Arabidopsis thaliana: one gene and its partners. The protein of the gene in region 1 purifies or fractionates together with the protein of each later gene. This does not show direct contact. Each region holds a gene or a part of one and is shown on either strand. Other genes may lie near its edges.

Region 1 (6,229 bases):
AACAAGAGTTGTTTATTATTACCAATGAAAGCAATTATATGGACTGTAGAAAGTATTAAACTTAATGAAAAACAATAATTGTCTACTCACTACTGTTTACTTTGGAAAGAAAAAATATACAAATTCTTTTAATGTAAACAAAATATAAAACCATGTCAAGTCTGAAAAAACCAGTTTTAGTTTTTTTGAGAATTAACGATGATGCAATGGATTGTTGATCAGAATCCAAGCGTAATTAAATGAATTCATAGATAAACAAACCGTTTCAGGCTTCTTAGACTTTTAGTTTTTATTAAAAGATCTAAGACTTTAATTTGAATAACAGTCTTATACTTTGTGAAGCTATCACATATGAAAAAAACTAGACTTAAGAGATTTAGACAAAAAGAATGCAAAGAAAAGACATGTGGTGTGCTAGTTTAGCTTTATCTACTTTTCATGAAACCAACCCCAATTCAACTCTTCCTTCTTTGACCATATACTATTTTACTAATCAACTATTTTAGCATTTACTGTTTACCATTGACATTGCTTTAGGTTCATAGATTATGCAAGTGGTAAAGTTGTATTGAAAGAAAATAAACAACAACAAAATAATGGACCCCTTAACTTTGGATGGTTAAGGAGGGATCCTATGAGAATATGGGATTAAGAGAACTAATTAATGGTATTACTATCTTTCATTTTTTTACTTGTACACTTTACTTTATTCCACATTTTCGGAATTTACCAAACCCTTTTTTCCTTGTAATTTCTTGTCTGCCTATGTACTAAAACCTTCAATCTATATTCACATATATAAATATTATATATATAAACGGCTCACCACAAAAATAAATAAAGCCCCTCCCCAACCCAAAAACTTGATTGGTCATCTCAAAATATATAAACATAAAATTCCGAAATCGCTTTTCTTCTATCCTTGAGATTTACCTTTTTACTCTTCCCGCGCAGCTTTCTTCACATTTCCGTAGAGCCGAGAATGTTAGTTAAAAACTTTAGCCTTCTTGTCTTTAGCCCTCTTCAATGAAGATCCTACTGATGAAGTCTCTGAACCTCTTTGAATAGAGTTTAGGATCAACAGCTGAGATCGAAGCAGGATCGGCTTGCAGTGACTTATACGCATGCTCGATCTTTTTGGTTATGTCGTAGTCTTGCAAGATGTCAATGACTCCAAAGTAGAGAACAACTTCGTACATCTCACCGTGTGATGGATAACTGGCTCCTCCTGATGAATACTGATCAAAATCGCTTCTCCGGGCCATTCGTTCAGCTTTTGCTGGCATGTTTGCGCCTAATCTGATCGATGGTTTCCTGTTAACACAAGATTGAATATTAAGCAAAAATTGATGGATCATGAATTGATTGATTCTTTTCTAGCAAACAGGACCACATGACTTGTTTAAACACTCCCCACACAAGATTGCCAAGCACATTTAATCATTCCTACATATATTATATACTTAATCCGAAATTGAATCTCTCAACCACTTCATGTCTCAATGGCTATGAATGCAAAAAGCTTCCTCTGTGAAGTCAACTTCTTAACATTAAAAATGAAACCCGGATCAATGATTGTTACCTGCCAGCTAAAATCCGGTCCATGTCTTGAAGTTCTGCCTCTAGGAAGCGACAACCGCGCATGAATTTTTCATTCTGATATGAATCTATCCTACCTGCATAAGATTGACATAAATCTCACGATAGGTCGACTTCAGCGGGGGGACACATATAGAGAATGATCAATGATGTATAATTTACCAGATCTCAAAACGAATGGAGAAAGCCCCATCTTTTCTCCTGTGTTGTCATCACGGAAGTGAACACCAACTAAAAGGCTATAATCCATTATTCTCTCTGCTTCCAAGAACTCACAATCGCGTTTTATTTGCCTGATCATGAATACCGATCAGCATTAGCATATGTTTAGGTAGCTGAATACTTTGCATACGCAAAAAATAGTGAGAAGCATGGAGCTTACTTCATAAGCTCTTGATACCAGTTTCTCTGAAGACGGAAAGAAAAATTGAGATCAAGGTCCTTGAGAGTCGTGGTCTCATCAATTTCTCCTTCAGGCTTTGCAGTGCTACGCCCATGAGAAGACCCTTTGAGGTCAAACCGTCTCTGGATTCTATACTCGGAGCAGAATAAGTTTCCCATAACGATAAACCGAGTCTGATCAAAAATGGTAAACAAAACAGTAAATTTTCTTGACACTAAGAGACCCATGAAGCTTTAGATGAACAAACACATACCTTTTGGCCACCAACAGGTTTGACACAATGAACACCGTAGAATCTAGTCACAAGGGAGTTTTCGTATTGGCAGACATGTTTGTAGTAACTTGGAAGCATTCTTAGAAGAACCTGGATAGAAGAAGACAAACACTTCAGGTCAAATTTCTTTAGCTAATCACAGACTTAGTGGAGTTTATGATTGAGAAAGTAATGTGAAAGCAAAGAAACAAACAAACAAAAAGGGTGTCCCATCCGCTAATCAAGTAAATTAACTTGAACAGACAAGCATTTTCAAATATGACAAGAGAAAGGTCAAAAACAAGAAGAGCCAACAACTACTAACCTTGACTTCTGATTTCTTCACCGTTTTGATCATAAATCTATCATCTTGAGTTAGGTAAAAAAAGCTTCCACTCTTTCCAGGTGAAGATAGTTCGCGGAGAGCATCATTTCCACATATAGCTAGCATATACTTAGCTGGATCCACTTGGAAAAGCTCCCTGAGACGTCTACAAACAAAATTTGCCCAAAAAGAAACACAATTCATCACAAATACGTCCACAATCTTATCAACTAAGCCCAAATTTGGGTATAGCCACATCATCAAACTTAAAACGCATTCAGCAATTTGCTAAATTGAAACACTTTTCATAAAAATAAAAAAGCTAAAAAGTTACCTGAACACTAAAGGGCAATAATCCTTCCACCTGAAATCCACTGACTGATGCGGCGGTGTTGTCTTAGTCCCTTCTGGTGGAAACCTTGTCCAAAATTTCTCCTTTGGATCGAAATCAGTCTGTTTAAGATCACGAACAATCGAAGCATGTTTGCCAACAGAATACCTAATTCAATCACACACAACCTTCATTAGAAACAACAGAGAAAGCCATCACACACCAAACAAAAACACCAATCCACCAAATTTGAGATATTTACCTGATTCCTAATTGCAAATTCAGCATCAAATCATATTTCTTATGCCCTTTAGAAATAGTCTGTCCAGGTTTCTTAGCCTCACCATTAAACCAACAAGGATTCTTCTTAAACTGCCTAAACCCATCACGATCAACAGAGATCCTATCTCTATAAATCATGGAAGCTTCAACATTATCAATAATATCACAAGTGATATCTCCAGCTTCACCATCAGATTCCCAAATACAGATTCTTGGAAAAACTTTCTCACCTCCCAAACTCCCAGCTCCACTATCAACAGAAGATCTCTTCCTATTCCCCACAATCAAATCATTCTTCTCAACACCATTAAAGAAACTCCTCATAATATTACTCTCATTCCAAGCACCAACACAAGAACTCCCATCACTCCAAGTAAACACACCATTCCCTTTAGGAATCCCATTCTCCCACAAACCTTCATATCGATTCCCATTAGGCCAAACAAGCAAACCTTTCCCAGAAATCACACCACTACGCCACTCTCCAGTATACTGATTCCCATTTCTCCACACATACCTACCTCTACCATCTTGTAGATTCCTTCTCCAAGTACCTTCATAAAAATCTCCATTTGCATAACGCTTTTGTCCATGTCCGTGTTTTCTATCAGCAACCCAAGTTCCTCTATAAGTATCTCCATCAGCTCCAGTGAAAGTACCAAAACCTTCCATTCTCCCAGATTTGAATTCACCTTCGTAAGTAGCTCCACTTGGCCATGAGAATTTGCCTTTCCCTGAAGCTTTCCCTCGTTTCCAATCTCCTTCGTACATGCACCCATCTTTCCATAGATACTTCCCGGATCCATGTGGAAACCCACCGGAGAAACTTCCGATGTAAAGATCTCCGTTTGGTAGCGGCTTCTCAACATCTACTAAAGGCGTGGGAGTCACGCGCCGAGTCGTTCCTTGAGATCTCGATCTCACCATTGGAGTAGATTGAGCTAACAACACCAAACCGTCTCGTCTCTCTACTTCTTCACCGAAACGCAGATTCTTCTTCTTCTTCTTCTGAACGACGCTGCTTAAAATGACTTCACTAGCTTCTTCTTCTTCTTCGTCTTCTTCTGAATCACTCATCAGAGAATCTTCACTCCAGTCCTCGATTCACAATGTTCCTCAATCTCAGAAAATGTCATTCGTTTGAAATCTAGAGTTTTAACAGATTTCTTAACAAAAAAAACTCAGTGGAGAAACGAAAAACACATTTCTCCGGCGATTCACCACCGGATTTTTCAAATGGGTTTGAATAAAGCTAGAAACTTTATCAAGAATTTGGTTACTCAGAAGATATCACACAAGTATTTCTAAATCTGAGAAGAAGAAACCTTGTGAGATTTCGTACAGACGCTACAAGAACATCAAAAGAAGAAAAGTGATGAACAGAGAGACACAAGAGAGACGATGATTAATTTTTAATTTATAAAATAAAAGTATTGGGAAGCGGACACAAAAAGCCCACCAGCCCGAAAAAGAAACCCACAATATTATTAAAAATTTGAAAACGACACCGTAGTGTAAACATAAAATTAATAATACATACGTACTCGAGATTGTTTCGAATTTGTCTTTGTATAATTTAAAGCGATATGATATAGTATGGGCTACTTCATACGTTAATAGTAGAAGACCAAATGATTAGTTTATGGTCTACCTTTGTTTACTTATTTTATTGATAGTAGAGAAATGATTATGATTGAGAGGATTATCGAGAAATCTTGATTAGGAAGCGAGTTTCCAGGTGATTGTCTTTGATGACTTACTTAATTAATTACTTTTATGATTCTAAGAATTTTGTTCTCTTCTGTGATTAGATGATCGTTGTCTTGGTGGGTTTTTTTTATATCTTTTCGAGTATTGATTCTCTTCCTACTTGCGATGATTTATTAATTTAAAGGATACTTATATTCCCATACGGATAGTGATAGATACAGAAGATGGTTGATGCAAGTAGTATATGAAATTCTAAAGTTGCGTTATTTTTTTAACGTTTTTATGTTGATATTGATAGTGCCAAAGGTTTACATTTTAAAGTTGAGTTTTTGTCCGCCATTTGTAAATTAGGTCTAATATTTTATTTGATAAATAATCGAGATTTTTTATAGTTTGGTTTCGCATAAATAGACATACATCATCCTATAGGCTATAGGTTCGTGTACTTTGATTTGAAGTGCTAGTAGTAGGACATGATTGTCATTCGAATAACCACAAACATCATAAAAACTATATTGCGAGTTGCGACCGTGCACGTAAACTTCATAATTCAAACGTGTAACATTTTAACAAAAAAAAATGCTACAAAAATACCTAATACACCACATATTAAGTATGTATATTTCTAAAATTGTATTATACGTACGAGTGGTCAGTGGTTAGTTACCACGGCTGTGGTGGTTAGAGTATCTAACACATTTGATCACCATTTAATTAAAATCTTTATAAAAATATATTACAACCGCATTAGGAAAAATTAAAAATATACTTCAAGGGAACGTGGGCGTACGTAATCTGAGTTTAAACTTTTTGTATAAAAGAAGCAATTGAATCACTCAAAATGTTCTTAAAACCTTAATTCAAGTTTGATACTCCTTGTTTTTATATCTTCATAAACTGACCATTTAACATTTGTTTTCTTGCGTTTGTTCTACGTGTTGGAGCTATTCGACACTTATTTATGTTATTTCGTCATTACTACACCGTTTATTTTATTTCGGTACTCGAAGCCGACGTTAATGCTGGGGGTGGATCCCCAGTTAAAACCTAAAAGTACTCAATAACTTTTGTCCACATTAATGAAAAAATCACACGATACGAATAAATATAAATATTAGGAGTATAAAATATGGTTGAATGAATGTATTTTTTCCCATTCATACACCATAACGCGTTGGTACTCTACGCCATACTGAGATACTTTCCCATTCCATATTCAAGGCATCTCATTACTCTTCGCTGTATACTTGAAATCTGAAAGCTCTAGTGTTTCTTTTTTGACGCTTTCAATTCTAAAAACCCACGAGGACACATCTTTTTCGATTC
Region 2 (5,113 bases), on another chromosome or scaffold:
ACGAAAGAGAACGCTGCTTGTGCTCTGCTCCGGTTATCTCAAGTGGAGGAAAACAAAATCACGATTGGGAGATCAGGAGCGATTCCTTTACTAGTGAACCTTCTAGAAAATGGCGGATTCAGAGCGAAGAAAGACGCGTCGACGGCTTTATACTCGTTGTGTTCGACGAACGAGAACAAAACCAGAGCTGTTGAATCTGGGATTATGAAGCCGTTAGTGGAGTTAATGATTGATTTTGAATCGGATATGGTTGATAAATCAGCGTTTGTTATGAATCTGTTAATGTCGGCGCCGGAATCGAAGCCGGCGGTTGTGGAAGAAGGAGGAGTTCCGGTGTTGGTTGAGATTGTTGAAGCGGGAACACAGAGACAGAAGGAGATAAGTGTGTCGATATTGTTGCAGCTTTGTGAGGAGAGTGTTGTGTATCGAACCATGGTGGCTCGTGAAGGAGCGGTTCCTCCGCTCGTGGCTTTATCGCAGGGTAGTGCGAGTCGTGGTGCTAAGGTAAAGGCTGAGGCGTTGATAGAGCTTCTTAGGCAACCCAGACAACAACAACAACAACAACAACACTTTGAATCTAACGACAACGAGAGATAACACTTTAGTTTGGGCTTTTTATTAATGGGCCTTTGTAGAATACATATCTTGTTAATTATTTGGACGGCCCAAGCTGAACACATATCTTGTTAATTATTGGTCGATGTGTTTTGCATCAAAGTTGCATTACTTGCGTAGAATGATCTATACAAGAGTAGCATCGAAACAAAACAAATACACGTACTGTCTATTTAGGAGATAATGTTGTGAACGATTTAGAGAACAAAATCCCTATAGAACTAACAAGACAAAAAATAAAAAAGAGCAATAGATTCTTTCACAAACAATAATGGAGTACTACACTGTCAACACAGAAACAAATGCAAGACTAAAACAAAAAGCTAATGTCCCCACAAATAGGAAGATGGGTTAAGGATATGGTTCAACTCAAGATTTTCTTACTTTTTTCAAAACAACATTCAATTTAAGGATGCATTTATTGTATAAAGGTTTTGGTTGGATAAATTTAACATTCATTCAAAAAGACTAAAACAAAAAGAAAATTAAAAACCATGCGATATGCTTTTTTTATCACTATGGAACAAAAAAACAATGAAAAGTTGAAAACCGTAAACTACATGTAGAATTAGGCATGGGCATTTGGGGTAACCGGTCCGGTTTCGGTTCGGAAACTTAAGTATTTCAGTTAGCAACAAAATCACTGAAGTAGGCCAAAATTAAAGTTGGGTTTGTAATGACAAAATTTCGGTTCAGTTCAAACAAAAAACAAATATTTTTGGTTTGGTGGTCCTCAATCAAACCGGCCATCCAATGATGGACTTTCAGGCCAAAAGTTAAAACCGAAATCTAAGCCGGCGAATTGCCAAATTTGAGCTCAGTTGGGTTCAACCAAACTTTCAGTTCAGGTTGGTTCGACCAAACCTCAGTGGCCAATTCGATTCGGTCCGAGTGCCATGCTTATGTAGATTGTAGAAAGCACCACTTTGAAAAGTTTTCCTATAGCAATGAACTACAATCACATCATCCTTAATAGTATTGACCAAAAAAATCAATAATATTGACAATAAATAATCTGTATTGACAATTACATCATGAGCGAAAAAAACAAAAAGGTTAATTAACACATGAGCTGTTTCACATGATGATTTGCTCATCAATGACAAATTAAAATTTGTTGATTTTTTCTTACGGCGACACGCCTACCACCATTTTCTCAGCCATTGGCTACACACACTTCGCCACGTTTTTTTTTTACTTTGGGTCAACGGTTCTGTTTTCAGTCAGCGGCTCTGTTTCGGTTTATAATACTAACTTTATTTCGGACAGCCGACAGATCATTCTCATTTTTCTTTCTTTATCTATTTTTGTACTAAGAATAATTCATAGATTTTTTCCTAGAAAAATTCATAGATTTAATTGGTTCATTGAGATAGAGATAGAGATATAAATGTGTTTCACGAACAAGAACAAACACATCAAGTCTCTCTGTTTCTTGTTTTTCTCTCTCGCTTAACTTTCACAAGAAAAAAAAAAGATGAAAGAATCATTCAAAGTGTGTTTCTGTTGTGTAAGAAACTTCAAGGTGAAATCAAGTGAGCCACCTGAAGAAATCAAGAACCTTTTCCATGATTACTCTCAAGACGACAGGATGTCTGCTGATGAGATGCTCAGATTCGTGATCCAAGTTCAAGGAGAAACACACGCTGATATCAACTACGTGAAGGATATCTTCCACAGACTTAAACATCACGGCGTTTTTCATCCTCGTGGAATTCATCTTGAAGGATTCTACCGTTATCTTCTTAGTGATTTCAACTCTCCATTGCCTCTGACCCGCGAGGTAAAGATTTAGGAATATAAGATCTGTTTACATTGAGAGAAAGAGTTTTGTTTAAAGAGATTTTGGTTTCAGGTTTGGCAAGATATGAATCAGCCATTATCGCATTACTTCTTGTACACGGGACATAACTCTTACTTGACTGGGAATCAGTTGAACAGTAATAGCAGCATCGAACCGATTGTGAAAGCTCTGAGAAATGGAGTTCGTGTCATTGAGCTTGATTTATGGCCTAACTCTTCAGGAAAAGAAGCTGAAGTTCGTCATGGAGGGTTTGAATCTTACCATAAAACCACTTCTTGAATCACTTACAAATTTAGTTGTTTTCTTGATTTGTTTTGGTTATGATCATCTCAGGACGTTAACGAGTCGTGAAGATCTGCAGAAATGTCTTAACGTGGTTAAGGAGAACGCGTTTCAGGTGTCTGCTTATCCTGTTGTGCTTACTTTAGAAGACCATTTAACTCCAATTCTTCAGAAGAAAGTCGCTAAGGTTAGATTCTGATAAATTCATGGAATCTTGTTTAGAGCATAGAGTTTGATTGATGGTGAAACTAAAAATATATGTAGATGGTGAGTAAGACGTTTGGGGGATCATTGTTTCAATGTACGGACGAAACTACAGAGTGTTTTCCTTCACCAGAATCACTCAAGAATAAGATCTTGATCTCAACAAAGCCACCAAAAGAGTATCTTCAGACCCAAATCTCAAAAGGTTCAACAACGGATGAATCCACTAGAGCTAAAGTAAGAAATAAAAACATAAAGTAATCATTAGTGTTTCTTGATGTTTTCTGAGTGTCTTGTGTTGTGACAGAAAATTTCGGATGCAGAAGAACAAGTTCAAGAAGAAGATGAGGAGAGTGTAGCGATTGAATACAGAGACTTAATCTCGATTCACGCTGGGAACCGCAAAGGAGGGTTGAAGAATTGCTTGAATGGAGATCCTAACCGAGTCATACGGTTAAGCATGAGTGAGCAGTGGCTTGAGACTCTGGCAAAAACCCGTGGACCCGATTTAGTAAAGTTCACGCAGCGGAATCTTTTGAGGATATTTCCCAAGACTACACGGTTTGACTCATCTAACTATGATCCTCTCGTTGGGTGGATTCATGGGGCTCAAATGGTTGCCTTCAATATGCAAGTAATAGTTTTAACACTATCCTCTATAGTATATAAGCAGAGATTCTTAATAGTAAATACCAACTATGTTTTGTGTAAATGCAGAGCCATGGGAGGTATCTGTGGATGATGCAAGGAATGTTTAAAGCCAATGGTGGATGTGGCTATGTGAAAAAGCCTGATGTTTTGCTCTCCAATGGTCCTGAAGGTGAAATCTTTGACCCTTGTAGTCAAAACCTCCCGATCAAGACAACTCTTAAGGTTTGGTCTTTGTCTCAGTTTCTGTTTCCTGTTCTTGAAAAGTAAGGAAACATCTTAGCTTCGTGTCTTTGTGGTGTATGATTAGGTGAAGATCTACACTGGAGAAGGATGGAATATGGACTTTCCTTTAGATCACTTTGACCGATACTCTCCTCCTGATTTCTACGCAAAGGCAAGTGTTCATTCATATGTAGAAAACGCAATAAGAACATGGTTTAATATCCCTATGAAGAAGCTAATAAACCCTAATTAGGTTTCTTGGCTATCAAGTCATTGGATATATCTCAAATGTAGTTGTTTTCCTTTCAGGTCGGAATCGCAGGGGTTCCATTGGACACAGCAAGTTACAGAACAGAAATAGATAAAGACGAATGGTTTCCAATTTGGGACAAGGAGTTTGAGTTCCCATTACGTGTTCCTGAGTTATCTCTTCTGTGTATCACAGTCAAAGATTACGACAGTAACACTCAGAACGATTTCGCTGGCCAGACATGTTTTCCGTTGTCGGAGGTAAGGCCAGGTATTCGTGCCGTTCGGCTCCACGATCGTGCCGGAGAGGTCTACAAGCACGTGAGACTGCTCATGCGGTTTGTCTTGGAGCCTCGTTAGCGCTTCGTGGATAATGTTCATTTCATCACTCGTGTCAATGTCGGTACACGTTTTTTATGTTTGTAATGTTAAGGTGTCGGTATACATTAGTCAGTCATACTAAGCCATACGATAATAAGAGATGTGAAAAGAAAAAATTAAACGTAATTAAGATCAGCAAAATTATGAAACGTATGACTTTAATATAAACAATTTGTTTGAACAGTTGATAAAGATAATTTTGTTTAAGCTGTTGTTATGGTCCACTAACCACTAACGCCAATTGCTAAATTATGGCAATTCACACTAATGCGAAATTTCATTATGGCAATTCACACTATGACACTAATTAAAGCAAAACTGCTTCATAATGGCAATTATCACTAAAGCAGAATTGCTTTACAATGCCACAAACCAATTTTCAAATACTGTTTGTTGAAATATCACTATCACAATAGAAAATAAGTAGATGGATCGTCGTCATTGTAGAGCAAACAAAGAGTGTTTTTAATGTTCAACAAACAATGTTATTGTCAAGTTCTCTACGATGATCAGGGCCAGCCCAAAATTATTTCAGAGTCAAAAACACAGCTTTCTTTGTTTGAGTCTTATTGATGGACTAACTTAAGTATCCAGAGTTTGGTAAACCAAATAGATACTAAATTTCAGACACGGTCAGAGAAACAATGGAGAATTTGGGTTGAATCTAGGAAGGCCAATCTTGGTTCCAAGAGACTGAACATCAGC
Region 3 (4,358 bases), on another chromosome or scaffold:
AGAAACTTATCAACCTCCTAAAAGCCTATGCAATTGCCCTCCATCCATGGTGTTGCAATTCTTGGACGTAGTTGAGAATTGGGTCCCTAACACGATCGAGAGAAGAGTAGACCTCATTAACTCTGAAGATGAAGAATGTTGGTGGTCCATGAAGAAGCCGCCAAGTAGCACCACAGAAATATGCAAACAACTTAATAGAGAGAATGAGATCAAGCAAGTAGGCAATACAATGGGGTGGCCATGTGCTCGCCTTTTACCAGAAGCTGATGTCTACGCCTTACCTTACACAGTCCCGTTCTGATAACATCAAAGAGCAGGAAGTTTTTAACAAGGAATCTGGTCGAGACATCCATGTTCTGGACCAGACAGTTTTTTGGTTTAGCCTTAAAATTCCAAGGTTGTATAAGAAGAACACACTGTTTGTTATTCTTTGCGGTTGGTAACCAATATAGTAATATCAGTATTTCGTCTCAATCTCTCTTGTTCTTATAATAATAGAATGAGAAATCGAAATGGAATTTTCATGTGAAGTGGATTAGTAACATTATCACAATTGATAAAACATTTGTAAATAACTAGACAAGCTTTCTCGGCTATCAGTTAAAATAGAAGTTGAATTAACCTCACAATTCGTTTTGTACGGAACTAAGAGATCACAAATGAAAACGGAAAACAACAACAAAAATGAAAAAGCGATACTTTTTTAAACCACCCTGTCATCCTCATCTCAAAGAGCTTCTTGACTTCCATGAGTGCTATTACAAGATGGAGCAGGCCTTTTGTGCTTTGTTCTTCTTTTTCTTCTGCTTTGGAGGTTGAAGGACCACTCTGATCGCTGCATCAAACACGCCCTTCACGTTCTGCAGTTATAGTCACATTGTTTTCATCAAAAGATGAAGAATCCAACACCGAAAAGATGATTCATGAGATGTCTTTTATTCGTTTACCTCTTGTGATTTTGAACTGCACTCGATGTAAGCTGGCGCTCCAATTAGCTTCTTCAGCTCCTCTCCCTTCCATGCAGAGAGGGAAAATGCTTAACGGTGGTAAAGCTGATAAAATTGCACTGAGGAAATAACTGTATTCTTACCTGAACAGTGGTAATAGGGACAGCACCAGGATGGTCGATGAAAAACTGTTTGTCATCTCGAAGATCTGACAACAACCAAGGTTAGACAATCAAAAAGGCCAGGATCATGAGTTGACTGAAGATCTTGCAAGTGTCTTTTATAAAGGTATACACTTGCTATACAGTAGCTATTTCATTGGAGGATGCTTAAAGGCGTGTGTTATAGGATATGGTTGCTTTATCACAAGAAGTGCAAGATACAAGAAGAAGCCTGTTGACCAATGATATTCTCTGAAAACTACCCTCAGTTTCACCTAACGAATACATCTTGAACATGTACAAGTTTTAACCACAATCAAGAGAAGGTGAAGTTTTATGTCCACTAATGTCATGATATATTATACCAGAGCAGCTTAATAAAGTGAAAAGGAAAATGGCAGTGTAAGCATGGGAATCAGACATATATATAAATAAATGCATAAACAAGGACAAATGTGAGAGGAGGAAGTAACCTAGTTTGGTTCCAACAAGGACAATTGGGACACCAGGAGCATAGTGCTTCAACTCAGGAATCCACTGTAAAAGAAAAGAAGCATCAAAATTTGGAACTCTCAATTGTTAAATAGTCGACCAGTTCGGACGAAACTGACCTTCTTGGAAACATTCTCATAACTAGCCTTACTAATGAGAGAGAAGGCAAGAATGAAAACATCAGCACCACGGTAACTCAAAGGTCTTAATCTGTTATAGTCCTCTTGCCCTGCATAAACCAAAAACATAATTTCGACCGATTCATCAAGGAAAGCTCTCTCACCAAGGATTATGAATTGGATCATCATTCATTACCTGCAGTATCCCACAATCCAAGATTCACCGTGGCTCCATTAACAACCACATTTGCACTAAAGTTATCGAAAACAGTCGGAACATAATCCTGTTCCAATGGAAATGTATACAACATTTTTAGTATGTATGGATCCCAATTCATATATGGCACAATCAGAATCAAATGAATCAGATATCAAAAAAAGGAGGGAGAATGATTGATGAATACCGTGGGAAAGGTGTTGCTGGTATAAGAAATCAGCAAACAGGTTTTACCAACAGCTCCATCACCAACGGTGACGCACTTTATGAACCTTGATGCGCTCATTGCCTCTTCTTCTTCTTCTTCGAGCCAAAATATGTCACAATTTACCAAAAAACAAAAGAGATCAACCTCAGATTTAAACCTGAGGAAGCCAGAAACACCCACAATGTGAAGCCAATTCCTCCGAAACTTCGACCATTATCTTTCAATTAACCATCTCAAAACCCTAGATATGTATAATGTGGAAACAAACCCCCCAAATAGAGAAAATCAGAAATGTGAAGAAGGAAGGAAGATGAATAAACAAAAGGGAACGTGAGGACGATGAATTGGAGGATGCGAGAGAGAGAGAGAACAACAACTAGAGAGAGAAAGAAAGAAGTAGAGAAGAAAGTGATGGCCGGAAATAATTGCCATTGAAGCGTTCGATTAATCTCAGCCATTCAACCTTCCGACTGTTTTGCAATCTTTTTACTTTTTTTACTTCTTCTGTTGTCTTTTAAATAATTACTATTTTACTTCTTCTTCTTTTTTCTGTTTGATTTTTTAGTGTATATTCAAATTAATTTATTTATCTTGTATACAAAAAAGTAAAATAAAGGAGTTGCACATAATGTATTTTGTCTTTGTTGTTTAAAATGCAAATAAGAAAAATTAACACTGGCTAAAATTATACGTGTTTTTAACTGTCTGTAAAATTTCTAGTACGATTTGTTTTACTATTCTAATTCATTTTTTTACTAGTTTTTCCGGATGCTCACCAAATGTGAAAAAATCTCTAAGTTATGATTCAATATTTATGAAACCAATCAGCCAATTGCGGTACAATAAAGTTGTAATGCACTAGTTCTTCCGCATACTCGCCAAATTTATGTTAAAATTTCAAGGATGTTTGATGATATTGAATGTGGTTAGTTGAATTTGCATGTTGGCTAGTGAGAATGTGGTGTATGGACCAAACCTGAACTTATTTGTATGTCAACAAAGTGTGGTAATATTTTCTGCCAAAAATTGCAATAATCTCAACTAACAAATATTTTACCGAGTATGTAAAATGTCAACATTGGTCATATTTGCCTTTCGTGAGGAAAGATGTCTATGCTAATGAACTTATTCGGGTCAACGTAACCTTCCTTGATAAGAAAACCTGCGACAGCGAGAACAAAAACGTTAAGAGTTGGGAATCTTTCACAAACCATGTAATTAATTTGTCGGAAAAAGTTAGCATTTGAAAATGTTCAAAGTAAAAGTTTTTATTTGATGTGTGTACGATGATACAATCACAGTTTTGATAAACCAGGATTCGTGGAGTTGGAATCAGTTTTATCAAATCAACATTCCAAAATTACTAACAAGTTTGAAAATATGCAATGACAAAAAATCATAAAAATCATAAATACACGAGCTACATATGGATGAATGAGAGAGTTAATCTATAAAATCCGACCAAATAACTCACCAAGTCTACGATTTATTATATGGCTTTTAACAGAGTAACGACTGAGAGAGACATATAAGAAGAGCATTGATGAAACTAACCCTGAACATCACGGCGAGTAGTCAACTGGAAGTCCAAGATGATACCCCGGCGCAACAAGCCCGCTATCACCGCCAAAGGTTGCCGTGGATCGTTTGTCGTGACTGTGACGGATCATTTATCTCTTCTCTCTCTCACCTGTAATTGTCAGAAACAGTTTAGATGGCAGAAATTTCTCAAAGATAAATTACACTATAATAACTCTCTTTAACATTATGACTACAATTCCCAAAATCAAGATGTTTCAGAAAATACACGGCTCAATTCGTCAAACAAAAAGGAGAAACATCAGATTCTTACCAAACCCTAAAGCAGAGTCTCAAAGCAGAGTTCTTGATTACGATGATAGTATATAATGAAATCACGGGGAAATTGGGTGAACGCTCTCTGTTTTTCTTTCTTTGCGTTGGTTGTAGTGAAGCTTGATGAGCCTTCCATTTCTAGCTATTTGCTTGGAGAGAAACCTGCAAGAACACTCGAAAAAGAAAACAGAGGAAGATGTGAGTTTAGACAAAGTGAAAATAGTATGATGCGTAAAACTGAAACTGACGAAACTTTAGTGAGAAGAATAGACCATGAAAGTGTTTCGATCAACAACATAAGTCGTAGAAAAGTAAGGAAACATCTAAGAATTCTTACCAATCTTAAAAGCAGAGTTCGGC
Region 4 (3,213 bases), on another chromosome or scaffold:
ACGTGGAAACGAACTACTCCAATGGATTTTGAAACTCTGTCTCATGATCTCGTTGTTCTTCAGTTTGCAAACTATGAATTCACAGGCACTGTAACCGAAATCTGAAAGAAATGTAGCAATAGCAAGAAAAAGCAAAATTTGTTCCTGAATAGTTTGGTCTAGAAATTGTGACACCGTCTAACGATTTTGTCTTTCTTCCTGCAGTGGAATCGTTGTACAGACATTCTATCTGAAAACTTGTCTGATATCAATTGTGTAACCACAGTCTTGTGATCTTAATCATCCTCACTATAATACACAAAAATCTCAATCTGCATAACCAATAATGAACTCTAAAGCTATGGTACCACACTGCCATTCATTAAATATTTCAACTCGACACAAATGTAGACAATACTATATTGTTTTAGAAATAATCATACAACCCCAAGATCCATCACAAGGTAGGTAATACACAGTCGGATTATCGAATAGTTTTTCTCTCACGACACAACTAGAAGATTACATAAAGCAATATGAATATAGTAGCAGCTTAAGTTTCAGAGCCCCGATTCAATCAGGTACTCACCGAGATTCTCCACAACCATATTGCATTGTCCAGGAGTCATTGGTTCATCATAGATACCAAATACCAAAGCTAAGGTGGTCTTCTTGATGGTAACACCACCAGCTCCCTACAATGGAAGCAAAATCAACAACAGTTCATCAAAAATCAAACAATATTCAAACAGTCTAGTTACCTTCTTTCCTCGAATGACGGCATTAGGCTCTCCTTGGATTACCATGTACTTGTTACCACCAAGGAACAATCCTGTTGGGGCAAGTGTTCCAGGTGTAGTAAAATCGTCTTTGATGCCCTGAATTTCCTCAGGCTTCACCTAAAACAACAACAATACAAAAACTATAAGAGAAACAAATTCAGTCTCTCTTAAACATCTCATGAAAGCAACTTAATAACTTATGAACAACATAACCAGTACAAAGAACTTGTCTATTTCCAAAGGTCAAAACTTTCTTCTTAAAAGAGCTTTAAACTTGTGATTCGAACTTCTTCTAATGCATCTTTTGCACTCTATAACCTCAAGAACATATGAATCAGAAAATCAAAACCAAACATTGAAAATTGCTGAATTTTGGTGGTTTAGTAGCTAAACAAAACCAAAGGTTGCAGATTTCAACATAGAACCAAACCAGAAACAGCAAGATGATAAGAATTGAGTAGTCGGTATAGAAATAAACCCTAACCTGAGGAAAATTGTTGCTCTGAGCCCAGACGCTACCGTCTTGGCCGAGAATTGCGGCGGCGGTGAGGCGGTTGCCTGCAACATCGCACATTAAGTGATCGTCGACGTAAGTCTGCCACGACATGTTTGTTTTCTTCTTCTTCTTTACTTTTGCTCTGCTTCTTCTTTGTGGTTTATCGGAATGTTCTAGAGATAGCGTCGAAACTACGAGTGAGTGAGTGTGTGGCAATGGCATTTACGCAAATATATTGTTTTATACATGATTGACACGTGCCAGACACAGCTCTTTTTAATAGTTTCTAAAGAGGAAAATTGTATTAGAAAATCAACCAGTTATAATGAAAAGGGAGGAAATAAATAAAAAAATAGAAAACTTATTTAAGGAAAACCAAAACATTTAATTAAATATGGTCTTTTCCTAAAAAAAAACAAATGTTTCGATTTTCATTATAATTGATTTTTGTTATGAATAAAGATGGATGTCCATTATAAGGCCCTCATCTAAACCCATCATCTAGATGTTTTTAGGGTTTTATCTTTTTTTTGTACTCCTATATAAAGAACCATTTATCTCAATGGAATAACACACTCATTTCTTTTATCTCTTTCTCTGGTTATAACACGTTATCAGCACGTTCTAAAAGGTAGATATAGAGATTCTTACATTTTTTTTAAGAACCATGTTTACTTATCGACTCATGGTTCATAGTACTTATTTTCTATTATTGAAACAAAACAATATGAGCCGATCGATGATTATAGTATAGATCGGTAAAAGCATGTTTTCAATGATTCAATAAAGAAGAGAATAATGCTTATCATTTGTTTCTATAATTACTATCGCATGATTCAATGATTCTACAAAGAAAATCGTTAAAGAAGAGAATCATGCTTGTTAATTGTTAATTTTTGTGATTTACTATTACAATATTGAATATATAAATTACCAATTTTATAATTATATAACTAACTTTGTAACTATTCATAACCCGGTGGTGGGTGATGCAAGCATGTATTAATGTTTTAGCATTCCAGTTTTGAATAGTTGCATCTATATTCAATATCATTTTATAAATATTATATTGTCTAAAATCCATTTATGATTGATATGATATCCCTTATTTAACTCCTTTGATTAAAACGTTATACATATCTTATCACTTTTAGATATTGACTTTTCCATATTAAATATTTGATTTTCATATATTTGATTGTGTTATTATTATTTTTACTAAAAACATTTCAAGATAATTTTTCTTTTTATAAGATTCCATATATCTAAATCTTTGTGTTATTATTATCTAAATCTTTTTATAAGATTTCCATATATTTGATTGTGTTATTATTATTTTTACTAAAAACGTTGCAAGATAATTTTTCTTTTTATAAGATTCTTTTCTCTAAATCTTTGTGGTATCTAAAAAAAAATTGTTCATGGTTTTGTCGTAATTTTGCACGAAATCATTTTACCCAAATCTTGCACGAATTCATATTACCCTAAATAAAAGTTTTGTCAAGATATATGTAAAATCCAGATTTTGCACAAAGTAGTTTTATTCTGATTGGTTTTACAATATTGCATTAAAATTATATTAATATATAATATTTGATTATTTTATGAAATAAATTGATTGATAAATAACTTAATTTAAAGGTATAATCACTTATAGAAATTTTTATGAATGACTATTTTAATGTATCTTAAAAAGATATCATATTTTTGATGGTCAAAGTTTTTTCAAGAACTTAAATTATCACCAGAAATTGAGAAAATAAATATGGTAAAAAAAAAAAAAAATAAGAAAAATTTCTAACGATGAAATAATCTAGTATATCAAGTAGTATAAATCTTATTAAAAGACTCTAGAAGAGCATATACATTGCTTTCTATGGGAATACAAAATTAAAATCATCGATGGGGTATAATTCTCCAAATCTTAAAGTTAATATGATGAGATATAAAATACAT

What was found.
Region 2: the proteins of PIP5K1 (region 1) and PLC1 purify together in Arabidopsis thaliana (affinity purification with mass spectrometry, with the first as the bait; one study listed by BioGRID). This does not show direct contact.
Region 3: the proteins of PIP5K1 (region 1) and RAC6 purify together in Arabidopsis thaliana (affinity purification with mass spectrometry, with the first as the bait; one study listed by BioGRID). This does not show direct contact.
Region 4: the proteins of PIP5K1 (region 1) and PRF3 purify together in Arabidopsis thaliana (affinity purification with mass spectrometry, with the first as the bait; one study listed by BioGRID). This does not show direct contact.

The regions. Positions count from the first base shown.
Region 1 is NC_003070.9:7,733,094-7,739,322, reverse strand, and holds PIP5K1 (phosphatidylinositol-4-phosphate 5-kinase 1), read right to left. Parts: upstream 4,663-6,229; 5' UTR 4,271-4,662; coding exon 3,174-4,270; intron 3,080-3,173; coding exon 2,915-3,079; intron 2,747-2,914; coding exon 2,581-2,746; intron 2,367-2,580; coding exon 2,256-2,366; intron 2,176-2,255; coding exon 1,982-2,175; intron 1,893-1,981; coding exon 1,762-1,892; intron 1,677-1,761; coding exon 1,583-1,676; intron 1,315-1,582; coding exon 1,014-1,314; 3' UTR 551-1,013; downstream 1-550. UniProt on the Arabidopsis thaliana protein: Catalyzes the synthesis of phosphatidylinositol 4,5-bisphosphate and phosphatidylinositol 3,4-bisphosphate.
Region 2 is NC_003076.8:23,703,731-23,708,843, reverse strand, and holds PLC1 (phospholipase C1), read left to right. Parts: upstream 1-1,840; 5' UTR 1,841-2,092; coding exon 2,093-2,398; intron 2,399-2,470; coding exon 2,471-2,667; intron 2,668-2,752; coding exon 2,753-2,888; intron 2,889-2,965; coding exon 2,966-3,142; intron 3,143-3,212; coding exon 3,213-3,539; intron 3,540-3,622; coding exon 3,623-3,778; intron 3,779-3,863; coding exon 3,864-3,950; intron 3,951-4,087; coding exon 4,088-4,387; 3' UTR 4,388-4,613; downstream 4,614-5,113. Other genes in the region: AT5G58680 (ARM repeat superfamily protein), read left to right, coding at 1-597; AT5G58660 (2-oxoglutarate (2OG) and Fe(II)-dependent oxygenase superfamily protein), read right to left, coding at 5,042-5,113. UniProt on the Arabidopsis thaliana protein: The production of the second messenger molecules diacylglycerol (DAG) and inositol 1,4,5-trisphosphate (IP3) is mediated by activated phosphatidylinositol-specific phospholipase C enzymes. Required for secondary responses to abscisic acid signals.
Region 3 is NC_003075.7:17,023,293-17,027,650, forward strand, and holds RAC6 (RAC-like 6), read right to left. Parts: upstream 2,575-4,358; 5' UTR 2,223-2,574; coding exon 2,124-2,222; intron 2,004-2,123; coding exon 1,916-2,003; intron 1,830-1,915; coding exon 1,720-1,829; intron 1,646-1,719; coding exon 1,582-1,645; intron 1,156-1,581; coding exon 1,091-1,155; intron 1,014-1,090; coding exon 948-1,013; intron 861-947; coding exon 759-860; 3' UTR 545-758; downstream 1-544. Other genes in the region: AT4G35940 (uncharacterized protein), read left to right, coding at 1-301. UniProt on the Arabidopsis thaliana protein: May be involved in cell polarity control during the actin-dependent tip growth of pollen tubes.
Region 4 is NC_003076.8:22,909,343-22,912,555, forward strand, and holds PRF3 (profilin), read right to left. Parts: upstream 1,369-3,213; coding exon 1,246-1,368; intron 879-1,245; coding exon 741-878; coding exon of another isoform or gene 675-740; coding exon 540-674; downstream 1-539. Other genes in the region: AT5G56590 (O-Glycosyl hydrolases family 17 protein), read left to right, coding at 1-94. UniProt on the Arabidopsis thaliana protein: Binds to actin monomers and regulates the organization of the actin cytoskeleton. Can increase the critical concentration (Cc) of actin assembly in vitro.